Schizosaccharomyces pombe: one gene and its partners. Changing the gene in region 2 together with the main gene of any one other region gives a genetic interaction. Each region holds a gene or a part of one and is shown on either strand. Other genes may lie near its edges.

What was found. A genetic interaction does not mean that the proteins touch.
Region 1: of mis18 (region 2) and upf3, a mutation in one rescues a mutant of the other (synthetic rescue), as found in Schizosaccharomyces pombe (one study listed by BioGRID).
Region 3: mutations in mis18 (region 2) and mis20 impair growth when combined (synthetic growth defect), as found in Schizosaccharomyces pombe (one study listed by BioGRID).

What each region holds. Positions count from the first base shown.
Region 1 is NC_003424.3:2,296,899-2,301,168, forward strand, and holds upf3 (protein upf3), read left to right. Parts: upstream 1-2,000; 5' UTR 2,001-2,080; coding exon 2,081-2,235; exon of another isoform or gene 2,236-2,294; coding exon 2,295-2,401; exon of another isoform or gene 2,402-2,451; coding exon 2,452-3,026; 3' UTR 3,027-3,170; downstream 3,171-4,270. Other genes in the region: heat shock protein Ssa1, read right to left, coding at 1-855; protein Mac1, read right to left, coding at 3,624-4,270. UniProt on the Schizosaccharomyces pombe protein: Involved in nonsense-mediated decay of mRNAs containing premature stop codons.
Region 2 is NC_003421.2:508,854-516,603, reverse strand, and holds mis18 (kinetochore protein Mis18), read left to right. Parts: upstream 1-1,796; 5' UTR 1,797-1,833; coding exon 1,834-1,987; exon of another isoform or gene 1,988-2,032; coding exon 2,033-2,093; exon of another isoform or gene 2,094-2,140; coding exon 2,141-2,227; exon of another isoform or gene 2,228-2,275; coding exon 2,276-2,311; exon of another isoform or gene 2,312-2,352; coding exon 2,353-2,437; exon of another isoform or gene 2,438-2,493; intron 2,494-2,511; coding exon 2,512-2,673; downstream 2,674-7,750. Other genes in the region: rad16 (DNA repair endonuclease XPF), read left to right, coding at 1-2, 52-400, 440-767, 810-935, 981-1,241, 1,282-1,698; dcw1 (mannan endo-1,6-alpha-mannosidase), read left to right, coding at 3,064-3,276, 3,323-3,895, 3,969-4,278, 4,329-4,561; cbr1 (cytochrome b5 reductase), read left to right, coding at 5,264-6,169; protein kinase activator Mob2, read right to left, coding at 7,296-7,668, 7,734-7,750. UniProt on the Schizosaccharomyces pombe protein: Component of the CENP-A recruiting complex that ensures the integrity of mitotic spindles through maintenance of kinetochore factors mis6/CENP-I and cnp1/CENP-A. Maintains the deacetylated state of histones specifically in the central core of the centromeres.
Region 3 is NC_003423.3:3,208,213-3,212,263, forward strand, and holds mis20 (protein Mis20), read left to right. Parts: upstream 1-1,673; 5' UTR 1,674-1,809; coding exon 1,810-2,571; 3' UTR 2,572-2,951; downstream 2,952-4,051. Other genes in the region: kgd2 (dihydrolipoyllysine-residue succinyltransferase), read right to left, coding at 247-367; rRNA processing protein Rrp7, read left to right, coding at 3,141-3,489, 3,538-3,905.

The DNA of each region.
Region 1 (4,270 bases), on a different chromosome or scaffold from region 2:
CAAAGAATCAATTTCAATGCTGGCTTGAGCAGAAGAAGAAAGAGTACGCTTGGCACGCTCGCAAGCAGTACGTAGTCGACGAACAGCACGAGCGTTGCCAGTGATGTCCTTCTTGTTCTTACGCTTGAATTCTTGGGCAAAGTGGTTCACTAAGCGAGAGTCAAAATCTTCACCACCCAAGTGGGTATCACCAGCGGTGGCTTTAACTTCGAAAATACCCTCTTCAATAGTAAGAAGGGAGACATCAAAAGTACCACCACCAAGGTCGAAAATAAGGACATTGGTTTCATGCTGGTTGCTTCTGTCTAAACCATAAGCAATGGCGGCAGCTGTGGGCTCGTTAATGATACGAAGGACGTTTAGTCCAGCAATCAAACCGGCATCCTTCGTGGCCTGACGTTGGGAGTCATTGAAATAAGCGGGAACAGTAACAACGGCATCGGTGACTTTGCCACCCAAAAAGGCTTCTGCGCTTTCACGCATCTTCAATAAAACCATAGAGGAGATTTCCTCTGGTGTAAAGGTCTTGGTCTCACCCTTGAACTCTACCTGAATCAAAGGCTTACCATCCTTCTCGATGACCTTAAAAGGCCAATGTTTCATATCAGATTGGACTTCGGGATCGTTAAATCTGCGGCCAATCAATCGTTTGGCATCGAAAATAGTGTTGTGAGGATTCATAGCAACTTGATTTTTTGCAGCATCACCGATCAATCGTTCTGTGTCAGTGAATGCAACATAGGAGGGAGTCGTGCGATTTCCCTGGTCATTGGCAATAATTTCCACTCGATTATTCGAGAAATGACCGACGCACGAGTAAGTAGTACCCAAATCAATACCGATAGACTTGCTCATATTTGAAATGTATTAATAGTTCGTAAAGAAAATTCGTATCAATGAAAAACGGGGGAATGAAATTAAATTCGTAAACAAAATAAACGTGAATTAATAAGTATTATAACACAGGTACGATAGATTCGCACAAATGCGCTTTAGAAAATGCTTTTTTTAATTTAAGACGAAATAAACAATCGAAACGACAATTGCTGTTTGAAGAATTGTTGATATCCCTTTCGCCGTCCCCCAACCTCTATTTATGTACCTTTGTCCATTCTCGAACCTTCACCAACCCTAACCCTCGAGATGCTTCGAGAAACGGGGAGAACGAATTCTGACGAAGTCAAGGAATTACGTTACGATACTCAAAAAAAATCGAAACATTTCGAAGTTGCCGAAACATTCGCTTCCAAACCATCACGATCCAGCGAAAACGCTTGAGAATTTGCTGGACGTGTCCTTTTATTAATCCGTACTACCTTGTTAACTATCAATGGGTAAAACCAAGTTTTGATCGTCTCAAACTCGCTAACACCTTTTTTCCTCCACATTATTCGAATGTGGAGTAGAAAACGTCATCACTTGTCGAGCGATGGCTTCCCGCTTACATTAGAGTAAATTCTGTATGCAATTGCCGAATACAGTTACTTTCATTGTGATGACTTAATTAGAGCATACAGATGTTTTTCAAATTTGTCTTTCGATTGCACTAATTGATGGTGAAAAAACCGTTTTCAGAGTATGAGACGATTCTTGCAGCTTCTGCATCATTTGCAAATAAAGTTATAGTGGAATAAACGAGTATAAACGCACGATTACTCGAGCAGACTGAAATATAACGGTATAGCAAAAAAATGCGGTATATGAAATAATGCACAGTTGCGAAAATTTAGGTTACTGAAGCACTCAATAGTGCAATTACCTGTCCCAATAATCAATTCCTTAATTGTATAGTAACGATGAACAAATTGGTCTCGCATTTTGGATAAGAAAACTGGTAGAACATCGTAACGTCATTTAGAAAAAGGCACTACTTCATCTCTTTAAGTTATTTAAACGAGGCTAAATGATTGCAACCTTATCAGTAAATTGCAGATTGCTGTATTGGTCTGGTAAACGAAGGAAAGGTTGTTTAAAATAAGTAGCGCAAAAGTACCCTCCCTACAAAAAGCTTTGGTTATCATCAATCACCAATTTTCTATAATAGGGGAACTACCTTAAGCATTTCATTGCATGTATGTAGATGGCTCCTGATATCTCAAAAAAACGATTACCATGCAAAGTCCTCGTTTTTAATTTACCACCAACTTTGCCTGAACAAGTGTTTCTCCAATCCATCAACTCATTTTTACCACACGTGGAATGGCACCGATTCTCCAAAGGGAAAGCAACTGTTGGGTATTTATTTATTTCTTTAACCTTTCTTGCAAATAGTTACTAATATCGTGCCTTTGTAGTACTCGATCTGAATTGCTATCCTTTGCGTATTTGAAGTTCCAATCCGCCACGGCTGTTCAGGAATTTTTTCGCGTATACCAAGGACATACCTTCATAGATAAGAAGAGTAAGTTGTTACCATTCAAATTTTTCTTTTTTAACTCAAACATGCATTAGACAACACTTATAGGGCAATTGTCACAATTGCTCCATATCAAAAGATTCCTCCTTCTAAAGTAAAGGCAGATAGTTTAGAAGGCTCACTTGAACAAGATCCGAAGTTTCAAGAATTCAAGGTTCAGCGGGAGAGCTATTCGCAAACTGCGTCCAATGACGATGTTATTGAAAAATTACAAACCTCTACTCCATTACTACAATATCTTGCTGAGAAAAAAAATGCCGTTGTAGAAAAAGGAAAATCAAAACCATCTAAGAAATCTGTGAAGGCTAAGAAAAAGCTACGCTTGGCTGAAAAGCCGGCATCTAACAATTCAAAAGCTGGTAAAAGCTCACAAGAATCAAAAAAGTCTTCAAAGGCACCTGCTGAATCTGCAGCTGCTGTAATCAAAGAAGATAAAGTTTCTGATCGCAAAAAATCTAAAAAGAAGCCAAAAAAAACCCCCGTTTCTAATAGCACTGCTTCTCAAGCTTCCGAAAATGCCTCTGATAAAAAAACAAAAGAGAAGAAATCGTCTGGCAAACAAAAGATCGCTTCTAAAAAGAAAGATCAGCTAACAACTGATAATGTTTGAAAAAGTATTTATCCTTCCTTAGTGTGTAAATTAGAAATTCCTCCAGTCCTCATTCTTTATGTTTGCCTTATTGTCAACGATCACGATCAACTTAGCATCTTTAATTATACTTTTTAATCAATTGGTTGTTTTCCAAACTCATAAGATACACTGATGATAGATACATTTTTGCATTACTGTATTCTTTGGCCCGTAAATATAAATGCAACAAAAAATCTTTTAAAACACATACTCTACAAACCATAAAAAAGTACCTGTTTGCGATAGCACTACACAATTCCTACAACTATTTTTAATGTAATACCAATATATCGTCATTGTTCTCATGCTTATTCTGAAAGAATATTAATGAGATGGAAAGATAAGTAAAATGAATAATTGAAACTGTGCATGCAAATTTATAAAAGGAACCAGTCCTTTAATTAATAGGTTCGCCAAAGAGATAGTAAAATTGTAATAAAAGTAAAATGAATGAAATGAAAGAAGATGAGTAAAGAATCAATCTAAGGGAATAAATCGACAGTTTACCGAAACTATCAATTCTCAAATTATACATAAGCTAGCAGAATGAAGACAAAATGTCCAATTGAATAATCATTAACGGATCATCCGATTTCCACCAGGTCCCCGTCTATTATTACGGTTACCACGAACCGGAAGCTCGAAATCAGCGTTGCCTGAAAGCTGATCTAACGTATTTGAAACAGGGGGAACATTAGATAAATTTTGAGGGTCTCTCATCATACTGCGAGGACCATAACCCATGCCGGCATGGGCGGTATTCAGGCTGCCATGTGAGGGATTACGACTACCATTTAACTCAAAAGAAGGTCTTGACATATTTCCATAACTTGGTCTCTTGAATTGGCGAGAGTTGTTTGCTAGTGGAATGCCGTGCATACTGAGATCCAAGGCTGAATTATTTCTGGAGTTAGGAGAAGTTGGCATACCACGGGAATTTCCAGGAATGCCACTTTGACCGAACAAATCAGTTGAAGAATTACTCCTAGATGCGTTTCTAGGACCATTACGTAAATTCATTGGAATTTGCGCATTAAATTCACTTGAAGAATTGTTTCTTGAAGTGTTCCTAGGACCACGCATATTGACTGGCATACCACCATGAGCATGCAAATCATTTGAGGAATTATTTCTAGGTGCACCCCTGTGACCGTTATTCATATTTGGGTGCATCCCGCTCTGTGCATATAAATCTGAAGAGGAATTATTACGAGATGTGTCCC
Region 2 (7,750 bases):
AGGTATAAAAAAAACTCTCTTTAAAGGAAGAAATATTAACAAATCTTTCAGAAACATCCAATAATTCGATAATGATTATGTGCGCAGATGAGCGTACTTGTTTACAGTTACGTGATTATTTGAGTACGGTGACTTACGACAATAAAGACTCTTTGAAAAATATGAATAGCAAATTAGTGGACTATTTTCAATGGAGAGAACAATATAGAAAGATGAGTAAATCAATCAAGAAACCAGAGCCTTCCAAGGAGCGAGAGGCTTCTAATACAACGTCTAGAAAAGGTGTTCCACCTTCAAAGAGAAGAAGGGTAAGAGGTGGAAACAATGCCACTTCACGCACAACTTCTGATAATACAGATGCGAATGATTCTTTTAGTAGGGATTTACGCCTAGAGAAAATGTACGCTAATTATTAGGTTTTACACGCTAATAAGTCTAGTCTGCTCTCACACTTATCCAAACGTTATGAACCTGAAGTGGGCAATGATGCATTTGAAGTTATTGATGATTTCAATTCCATCTATATCTATTCCTACAATGGTGAAAGAGATGAGTTAGTATTAAATAATTTAAGACCTCGGTACGTTATTATGTTCGATTCTGATCCCAATTTTATTCGAAGAGTCGAGGTTTACAAAGCTACATATCCCAAAAGATCTCTAAGGGTTTATTTTATGTACTATGGAGGATCGATTGAGGAGCAAAAATATCTTTTTTCTGTAAGGAGAGAGAAAGATTCATTCTCTCGTCTTATTAAAGAACGATCTGTAAGTTATTCTAAACTTTTCAAAACTTGCTAATCTAAAAAGAATATGGCTATCGTACTGACGGCTGATTCCGAAAGGTTCGAAAGCCAAGAGTCAAAGTTTTTAAGAAATGTCAATACTCGTATAGCTGGAGGAGGACAGTTATCGATCACAAATGAGAAACCTAGGGTACGTTCATTATATCTTATGTTTATATGTATTAAAACGTTAAAGGTTATCGTTGACTTGAGGGAATTCCGTAGTTCGTTACCTTCCATATTACATGGAAATAATTTTTCTGTTATCCCTTGCCAACTCTTAGTGGGAGATTATATATTATCACCAAAGATCTGTGTTGAAAGGAAGTCAATTAGAGATTTGATCCAATCATTAAGCAATGGCCGTCTTTATTCCCAATGTGAAGCTATGACTGAATATTATGAAATTCCAGTTTTGTTAATTGAATTCGAACAACACCAATCTTTTACATCTCCAGTAAGTCTGACTAAAACAATCTATGTCTGACAGCTTTTAGCCTTTCTCCGACCTTTCAAGCGAAATTGGAAAAAATGATGTTCAATCTAAACTGGTACTGTTAACATTATCGTTTCCCAACTTAAGGATTGTTTGGTCTTCTAGTGCCTACGTTACATCAATTATTTTTCAAGATTTGAAAGCCATGGAACAAGAACCAGATCCTGCTTCAGCTGCCTCTATAGGTTTGGAAGCTGGGCAAGACTCAACGAATACTTATAATCAAGCTCCACTCGACCTGCTAATGGGACTCCCATACATAACTATGAAAAACTACAGAAATGTGTTTTATGGAGGCGTGAAAGATATTCAAGAAGCTTCCGAAACCTCAGAAAGAAAATGGTCAGAACTAATTGGCCCCGAAGCAGGAAGGCGTCTTTATTCCTTCTTCCGAAAACAGTTAAAGGACTATGAGTAATTTATTTTTTTATAATTTTGTAATATATTTAATTTTTGCTTCTACATCTGATATATATTGGTTCACCATATATAGAATGTTAAGCGCACCTAATTAATAACGACTACTACTAGATAAAATGAACTTTCCATAAGTATGTCCCAGACGGAAACTAGTCATTCGGGCTATATTGATTTTAAAAAAGAGTCACAACCTAGCGTCTTCCAATGTAAAAAATGTTTTCAAATAGTTGGTGATTCTAATGCTTGGGTTATTTCTCATCGAGAATATCTTAGTTTCACTTTGAGTGGTATGTGGTAAAAGAAATGTCCATGTAATTAATTATTTCATTTAGATGCAGTAGAAAATAGTGTACGCGTTGAGGATACGTTTAAAAGGAGTGATGATGGTCTTTGGTATGTTGCATGTGTTGCTCGCCAGTTTACTAATACAAAAATTATAGCGTCTATTCAGAGTTGAGTTGTACTAGATGCAATGAAGTGATTGGGAAGGTGTATAATTCTACACCTATATATCTTGATGATATTAGGTATGTCTAGTCGTACTTGGTTGACCAAATTTTAACAAAATCATGTAGAGATATGTATACTTTTTCAATGGACAAATTACAAGCGTAAGTTCATGATTTCATCTTAGTTACTAACCCCAGTGAAGCTACCAACTAGGTAATAAGACCGTAAATCCTGAAGGCCTTACACGGTATCAAGTTGATTTAGAAATGAGAGAGGACATTATAAAGGCATGTACAGTGATTCTTTATATAGTAGAGAAAAATAAACTTTAAGAAGAATAAATTACTAATTTTATTTGTAGTTGAAGTCCTTTTGTCTCTCTCTATATGAAAAGTTCGAACTTCACGATGAAACTTTACGCTCAGTTAAGGAGACAATATCCAGTTTAAAAAAACCGAAAATTGAGGGAAAGGAAGGTAAAAAAGAAAAGGCAAGAACATACTCTAAACGAACGAGGAAATAAGTCCACCGCTAGAAAGTACTGGGATACCATGTACAAACTGTTATATTCAAACAGTTAAAATTGCGGTTAAAACAAAAAGACACAATTTAAATAATACCTTTTTGATGTATTTTTTCTAAGGTTTTCCTTCTTGCTCATTGTGATATGCATGGGGCTGTCGGTCTCACGAATAAATGTGAGAGTATTTTCATTGAAAGGCTTAAGAATTTTATAGAAGATAGATTGCGTTAAGTTATATTTTTTCCCTACCTTTGGTCGTTCGTTGTTTACTGTTTAGATTATTTCTATCAGTCATTAATGAGTCATCATTGAATCATATGAAGGGCGACAGTCATCTGGATACATATGGGAATCTTCAAAGATACTACTCTATTTAATCCTTCTTTTTCAATGAGTCTTACAATCTTTATTTCACTTGCAACTATTTTGTTTTCCTTCGCTGAAGCCATTTCGGTGGATTTGAATGACACGTCCTCCGTTGACTTAGCCACTTCTTTAGTAGCTGATGGATTATTGAATTATTATGCTGGTCAGCACAAAGGAGGAACTATCGGGATGTTCCTTCCTCCAGCCTACTGGTGGGAAGCCGGGGCTGCTTGGAATGTACGTTGAGCTTAAAAGTATAATTTATTAACAACAATGGCTTTAGGGACTTTTAAATAGATACATTGCCACTGGTAATAGTACATATAACGAGTTGGTAAAGACCAGCATGTTGTACCAATCTGGAGAGGATTCAGATTATATGCCTTCGAATTATACAACATCTGAGGGAAATGACGATCAGGCATTTTGGGGTCTGACCGTTATATCTGCCGCTGAAGCAAACTTTTCAAATCCAGCAGCCGATGAACCACAATGGTTGGAACTGGCTCAAGCTGTATTCAACCAACAGGTCACACGATGGGACACGGATCATTGCAACGGTGGTCTTCGATGGCAGATTACTGAATTTAACTCTGGGTACAACTATAAGAACACTGTCTCAAATGGAGCATTTTTTCAGCTTGCAGCTCGACTGGCTCGATTCACCGATAACGATACTTATGCTGAGTGGGCTAATGTAGCATACGATTGGAGCCAAAGGATTGGGTTTATTCAAGAAGATTACACTGTATTTGATGGGAGTTCTATAAAAGATAATTGCTCATCTATCGAAATTACTCAGTGGACTTACAATATAGGATTATACATGGCAGGAGCAGCTTACATGTATAACTATGTACGTTTAAAGGATATATACATTATAACTTTACTGTAAAATGCAAAATGATTGTAACTAACAGTTTCACCAGACGAACTCTACGGTATGGAAAACTCGAGTTGAAGGTTTTGCCAACAAAACTGCCAAAACCTTTTTTTTCAAGGATATTATGTTCGAACCAGTATGTGAAATAGCTCTTTCATGTAACTATGATCAAACGTCTTTCAAAGGCTTTTTGACCAGATTTATGGTCTACACGGCACAAATGGCTCCATTCACTGCACCGTTATTAGAACCATTGTTGATATCCACCGCCAAAGCTGCAGCCGGGGCATGTTGCGGCGGTTATGATGGAGTGACTTGTGGTGTTCAATGGTGGTGGAATAACGATACTTGGGATGGTATGTTTGACTGTTAAAAAAAAACAGTATTGGTTCTAACTTTATAATAGGACTTTATGGCCTTGGAGAGCAAATGTCTGCATTGGAAGCTATTCAAGCTCCCTTACTTTTAAAATCGCTTCAAGTCTTTAAGGCTTCGAATGGAGGATCATCAACAGGAGACCCCAATGCAGGGCTTTATACTGCTCCTGTATCTTTCGCTAACAAAAATTTTGAAAACCTGAGGAAACATTGGATGCTATTGGGGTTCTTCCTTTTAGTGCCTACACTGGTCCTTTACTAAAAAATGTGATGTTAAGTAATGCAAGTTGATGGATCTAGGGTTTTTAAATTGCTTCTTCTTACTTGGAAACAATTACCTGTCTTTTAATGCTTGTTCCTCAGAGACGGTGTTTCACTTCCAAACTGTATACCGAATTATATATAAATAGATGGATATATCTCATGTATTCCGGTAGTAGATCATTGCTGAAAGACTATTTATTAACGAATTTACAAAATTTAGTTATTAAAATTTAATTCATTTCTTAAATTATGAATCGGCGTGATAAACAAGCATATGCTTGCGAACAAGTATGGTTCGACAAGCTGGTTTTTCAAAATAAATAATTTTAGCAGATTTTGAAGCGAAAGCCCTCAATCTATATAATTTACAATGAAATGGATTATGTGATGATTTATGTTCTCTTTCGTCAGTATTCCATGCTTAGTTGTTCATGACCTTAAAAAATCATTCGAGAAATCTGATTAGTTTTATAGACTTGCCCTTGACCAAACTTCTACTGTTAGCAATACTGCAGGAATCGTGAAAACTAGAGATTTCTTTTAAATTTTTTGAAACTATTGAAAGGTTTCTTATTCTTTAAATTATTTTAGTTTCTTGAAGATTTTGTAATTTGAGTCTTCTGGAAACGTTTCGCATTTCTTCTGCTTTCAGGCTTCTCTACTTTTTCTTTAGTTATTTTGGCTCACAATCCTAATTGAAATGGCCAAACAAACTCTTCTTAGTACCCCGTTGCATGGAGTCTATATTCCAGTGTTTTTGATCATCTTTGGTACTTACATTGTGAAACGCGAATGGGTGGGTTACGCTATTGTTGTGGCATTCTCTCTTGGTTTTCATAAGTTCTGGCGTGGACGCGTTCGTAAAGTATTGAGTGATAAAATTCAACAATTTGAACTTAGTGATAAAGCTGTATTGAACCACAACACTGCCATTTATCGTTTCCGTCTGCCTCGCGCTAACGATGTTCTTGGTCTCCCCATAGGACAACATTTAAAGGTCTTTGTTGATGTTGATGGTAAGGAGTATTCCAGATCTTACACTCCTCTGTCTTCCGATGCTGACAAAGGTTATTTTGATTTGCTCGTAAAGTCTTACCCCAATGGCAAAGTGAGTAAGAAGTTTTCTGAACTTAAGATTGGTGATACCATCGGTGTTCGTGGCCCTAAGGGAAATTGGAAGCATCGCACTGGCCTCGCGCGCCATTTTGGCATGATCGCAGGCGGAACAGGTATTACTCCTATGCTTCAAATCATTCGTGCTGTTCTTTCTAATTTTGAAGATCCAACGGAAATCACTCTTTTATATGCTAATGTATCAGAGGGTGATATTGTTCTTCGTGATGAGATTGACGCACTTGCTAAGAAGGATCCTCGTTTTACCGTTCATTATGTTTTGAACAATCCTCCTGAAAACTGGAAGGGAAGTGTTGGATTTGTTACTCAAGAACTTATCAAGGCGCATTTCCCTGCTCCTTCTCCTGAAACCAAAGTTCTTATTTGTGGCCCTACTCCCATGGTTAATTCACTCAGAGAAGCTACAGTTGCATTGGGATATGAAAAGTCCCGAGCCATTTCGAAGCTTGAGGATCAAGTATTTGTCTTTTAGATTTTAATTTTGATTATTTCCCTTCCCTCGTTTCAATAATGTTCTTCGTTTTATGTTGCCAATCGACTCACTCTACTGCAATTTATCTTACTACACGGCACATGTTTTAAGTAGTTAATTATTTGACGTGACTATATGTTTACGAATAAGCTAGAGACTTTTTTATCTGCTTGGATTGAAGTTAGCAATGATACGTACACAGTCTAGTCTAGTGAAGGATCAAGCCAATGCAATCTTAAAAGAGAAATAAACAAAATTTACATTGAGATTTATTTCAGTTTAAAGGATATCCATTAGTATGCCCAAAAATTGAATTATCGTAAAGTATAAAAAGAGAGTCAGACCATAACTCGATCCTTTGAGAATGTAACGTTCAATTTAGGAAATAATTATAATCACTGTTCGTCCACAAACAATTTTTTGAATTATTTATCAGTAAGCCCAATAACCCAACAAAAGACTGAAGGGAAAAATTAAAAGTGTCGAATTTGGAAACGTCTTCAGTTCATTTGAGTAAATTGCTGCTATAAAAAAAGTGGACATTAAAACAAAAACAAATTTCAGTTGTAACAAGTTTTACTTTTTTTTAATTTGCTTATCGGTCAAGTCCAAGGTTAAGAAGGGGAGCAAGGCTGTGGACTTTAAAAAAAGAAGTTGATGGTTAGATATAGGAAAGGAGAGCATTAGCGGATTATTTTTGTTGAGAAGGATAAGATCTCTTATAATTATCAAGGAATAATGTGGAATGAGTCACATAAAATGCAAGATATAGTTAAGAAACTAAACGGACGTTGAAGATAATTTCTAAGGAATACGGCCAAAGTCTGTTTAAAAATTCCCGTGAAATCAGTGAATGCAAGCGAATATGCCAAGAGTCCAAAAGGAATAGGATGTAAAAATAAAGAAAATGGCATCAAGAAATACAAATAGTAATTAGCTAATGAAGGTGGTAACGAAAAACGAACAAAAGGAAGTGTAGGAATTTAGCATATAACTTACTGCCTGTGTAGCAGAGAGAGGATTCGAGGGAAGAGGGTATTTGTGGGAAGAGGGGGTAAAGGAAAGGACGAAAACAAAAGAGATAAATGGTAGAAAACAGAAGTGTGTCCTGCCTTCGGCAAGAATATTAAATATTTCCTTGATTTTCTAAGACAACAATAAGATCTTTTAACGGAGCAGTGTCACGTTTATCCAACAGTTGAAACTCTTTACCAAAAGCAATAAAGTGAGCAAAGAATGAATTCCAGTGGGCTTCTAAAGAGAGATGAAGGATTTCTGCATAATGAGCATAATACATATGGGCAAAAATGCGAAACATTTGTTTATATATGGCTTTAACAATAACAAGAAAATTTGAAGGAAATGGCAAGCCTGCCTTTGTAGGAAAGACGTTTTGATCATGCAATCTATTTTCAATCCAAGCGAGTACGTATTCAATATATTGGGGAGCGGGTAAATGGACGGGTTTACGGTTGTTATCCAACCAAGTATAGTCGAAACTATAATAAAAGAGTAAGTTAGTAAAGGTAGAGGTGAGAAAATAATTAACTAGAGAATCACATACTTGGCTGCAGCACTCAT
Region 3 (4,051 bases), on a different chromosome or scaffold from region 2:
AAGTAAATCCCGAAGATACTGAGTGAAAGGAAGAAAACATAGTTGAGAATTCCTATTCATGTGTGAATATGACCTTGTGAAGAATTATTTAATTATTTTGAAATCAACAGCGTCCACTTGATTCAAAATAAAGTTTAAGACAGATGCACTTAGCAAAAGTTGATTCTTATGAGCAAGTTGAGTACTAACATATATATCCCGTCTCCTTTAACAAACAATATCTACATCATGATCAACAACACATACCATAACGGGCCCAAAGGACGTTGGCCATGGATTTAGACACTGGAGCAGTGACTGAATATCCTGAACGTAGAGATAAAAGACATTTCGCCATCATGCGAAAGCCATTGCCGTAAGAAGTCATTATGATGGTTTTTCCGTAACAAGTAATTTACTTCAATCTTGAATAAAGACAGCACAAGAAAAAACAAGAAGAATGTACGAAAGCCAAATCAACTAACAGTGGCTTGCTTATTTTGTATTATTGCTAGAGGGGGTTGTTGTATGTGGTAGAAGGTAAATATGCTACACCCTTATAAACACTGTAATATATTATATGGAGTATGAGTGCACGGTAGTGCTTTGAACCTGTAGAATCCTATTCGGTGTGTGAAACCAGTATGACCTATGGTAGGCCATTTATAAAACCTTATTAGGAAATGTAGCTGGGGGTAGTAAAGAGATTTGATGAGAGTCACTGTATTTCGTTAAACATTGTTTAGAAAGGATTTGGAATAATAAAGGTTTGCTACAATACACTAAATTGTAATAGTGTGATGTAAAGACAGCAAAAATGATAAACTATTAAGGATCAATATATGAAGTTGTTTTAAAGTTGAATTCAAAAAAATATTTATCAATTTCGGTTTTCTCCTTTTTTTACATTGACATTTTGCAGATATCCAAAAGAATAAAAATAGTATTGAAAGGTGTGGGACTCGAACCCACGAGCTTTCGCACTAGTGCCTTAAACTAGCTCCATAACCACTCGGACAACCTTCCTAGTTGTACGGTTCTATCCATAGACGAATATATACAGTAAAAATAAAAAATATTTGAGCTGTTATTCATACGAATGAATTATTATTATGAATTAATACCTCATATATACATTTGATATTGAACATTGTAATTAGTTTCAAAGGCATATGACTTTTTGGGTCACTGCCGGAACAATATCAGTCGTAAGGAAATGCATTGCTTGCCCGCACACGAGCATTAATGAATGTTTCCGCTAATTTGCAAGATATTCGCTCTGAACTTACAGAATGAATAAGTATGGTTTAGAATTAGAAATCACATTGGTTTCGCAGCTTGAGAGAAATGTTTGTTTTACATTGTAAATAGTAAGCTTATTTGTCGCGCGTTTATTGGTATTGCTATTTCTATATATAGAAAAAAAAAACATTTTCCTAATACTTCATCTCATCTAGCTCTAATATATCGAAAATTCCTAGAAACCCTTTTTTTGCGATCAAAACATTCAATTAAGCTACATAAGTTGTATTCTACAAAATGTCAGCGGTTCGCTGTATCAAATAAATAGTATATATAAACTCTATACCTCTTTTGTCTTTATCATCCCTTTAATCAATTCCTAGGTTTTTCATTGAAGACATTTTTTGCAAGCACCTACAGTATATATATCGTTGATTTTATTTACCTTCTTCACTAACCAATTTTCTTGAGCCTTAACACCTAAATGAAGCAATTATTGAAAAGTTGGATTTATCCAAATCTCAAAACTTTGTTAAACTTCATTTTAACCTAAAGTCATATCTTTAAAAAGATAAATCGCATGGCAAAATGTTGGAACAAAGTGAATCGCACGCGTTCATAAATAATGCACCAAAAGAAGATCGAATCCAAGTGAAATTTGAACAATTATTTGAATCTCTTCCTTTGCCATTGCGAGCTGAAGAAGCATTGAGTAAACTAAGACATGATTCTGCAAGATTGATGATATTAAAAACTTCAGATCCTACGTTAAATATGTCGACTTATAGTATAGAGGATTCTCCGATGGGCTTTGAATGCTTAAAATATAATTTAAGTGACAATAATAAATTACTTTCACAAAATAATTACCGATTACCAGACTATTTAGAAGAGGATGAAATAGTCAGCTATACTTTTTCAAAAACCGGTCCCACTACTTCAAAAAACAAGCATCCATCACATTCTAATACAATTAGATCACCTCCTTACAAAGTGAAAAAAGAATCATGTCATACAGAAATCAACAACGTGTCTAATGTTTCTACGGAAAGTATCAACGTTATTGATGCATCGAGGGGTTACTCGCCTTACACATCAGTGGATTCTCTTTCTGTGAGTAAAAACCGTTCTTTCATATCTCTTGAAGAATCAGCAAGTAACCAATATGATGCTGCAGAAGCTTTTTATTTTAATGCAGACTCATCCTCACCGTTGAGAAAACTTAGCCCTATAGAGCTTCCTGTGACTCCAATAAGACGCAAAACCCCTACAATTAACCCAAACTCAGAACTTAAAAGACTTCAAACTTTTGGAAAACTGATTTTGCATAAGGGAAGTCGTAGAAGGTAGTGAGTCCAATCGAACAAGAAGTATACAATAACGTTTCTTTGTTATTACGAAAAATTTTGAATGACCATTTTATAATGCAAAAAGTTACCTTAAGCGTGTGCAGTAATTTATTCAAATATCAATAATCCTTTTAAATGACTATACCGAGCACTATACTTTGTATGAGTAGGCTATAAGGATCTTTTTTAAAAACGTTTATCTTGGTTAGGAACACTAAATGCAATTAGCAACCACGCATATCAATATAGCTGTATTTTTTTATTAATTTACAATCCAACACCTCTAGCTCCCAATTCAATTATTACATTGCTTTTTGGAGCTTTTATTTAGCAGCAAATAAATTACAAGTTGTATAATTACATTTTTTTTTTAATCCTAGAAAATAAGCAAATCTTAGTTTAATTTTCGCTTATTCTAACATTCTTAATGTATATTGTATATAATAATAATTATAGTCACAACGAGATGAAGTATGCGAAGGTATAAGAGTATACAGCTCCTATGGTCTTGCCCTCGGTCAAGCTCAGTAACAAATTGCATTTTACCCAAGAACCAAACAACTCATATAAATGGACAAGCTCAAAGAAAAAGGGTTTGTTAAACTAGAAATTTATTTGGAAAATAAAAAGAGGTTGCATAGTATATTTTTGAAAGAAGACACGGAAGATGTTGAAAAGAAGTCACTGTATTTGATTAATGTTCCTATCACAACTACTGAAAAGATTTTGAAAAGAGCAATTTCTCAATTGGGCGGTCGTATCGTTAATATCTATCCTAATATTAGTGGCCTTTTGAAAAGTGGCACCCATTTACGCGTCAAATTAGTCGAGCCCGCTGAAGTTAAACAAGTTATCAAGGCAGCTTCTAAAAAGACGACCTCGCTTCCTTGGAAGTTCACACAGCATACTGGTTTGAAACGTAAGAACATGGTCATTATTTTTTTGGAAATACTAATGTGTTTAATAGGTTATGTAGAAAGTTATGATAGACAGTTTGTCAATCCACGTGTTCTAGCCGAAAGTGTTGATTCATACATGAAACGTGTTACTAAAAAGGAAATAGCAGAAAAGAGGAGACTATTCGCTATGAAAAATCAACCTGATGAAGATGGATTCGTAACGGTCGTTCGCAGCGGCCGGGCACCTGTCGGGCGACCTCAGGATGCTGAGCGTCAATTGGAAAAGAAAAAAGACACTGGGATCCACAAAGATTTTTACCGTTTCCAGCTTCGGGAAAAGAAAAAGAAGGCTCTTTTGGATTTAGCTCATAAGTTTGAGTTCGATAAACAGCGTATCCAACAATTAAAAGAAAAGCGGCAATTCAAACCGTATTAATATTATAGGTTTTAATCTTTTTGGGAGCATCACAAGGATTTGTTTTAGTTTGTATATTTTAGGGATAATGGTAATATACAAAGGCTATGATTTACTAATACAAAGAATAAAGTATACTTACCACAAACGTATATAAATATATTAGT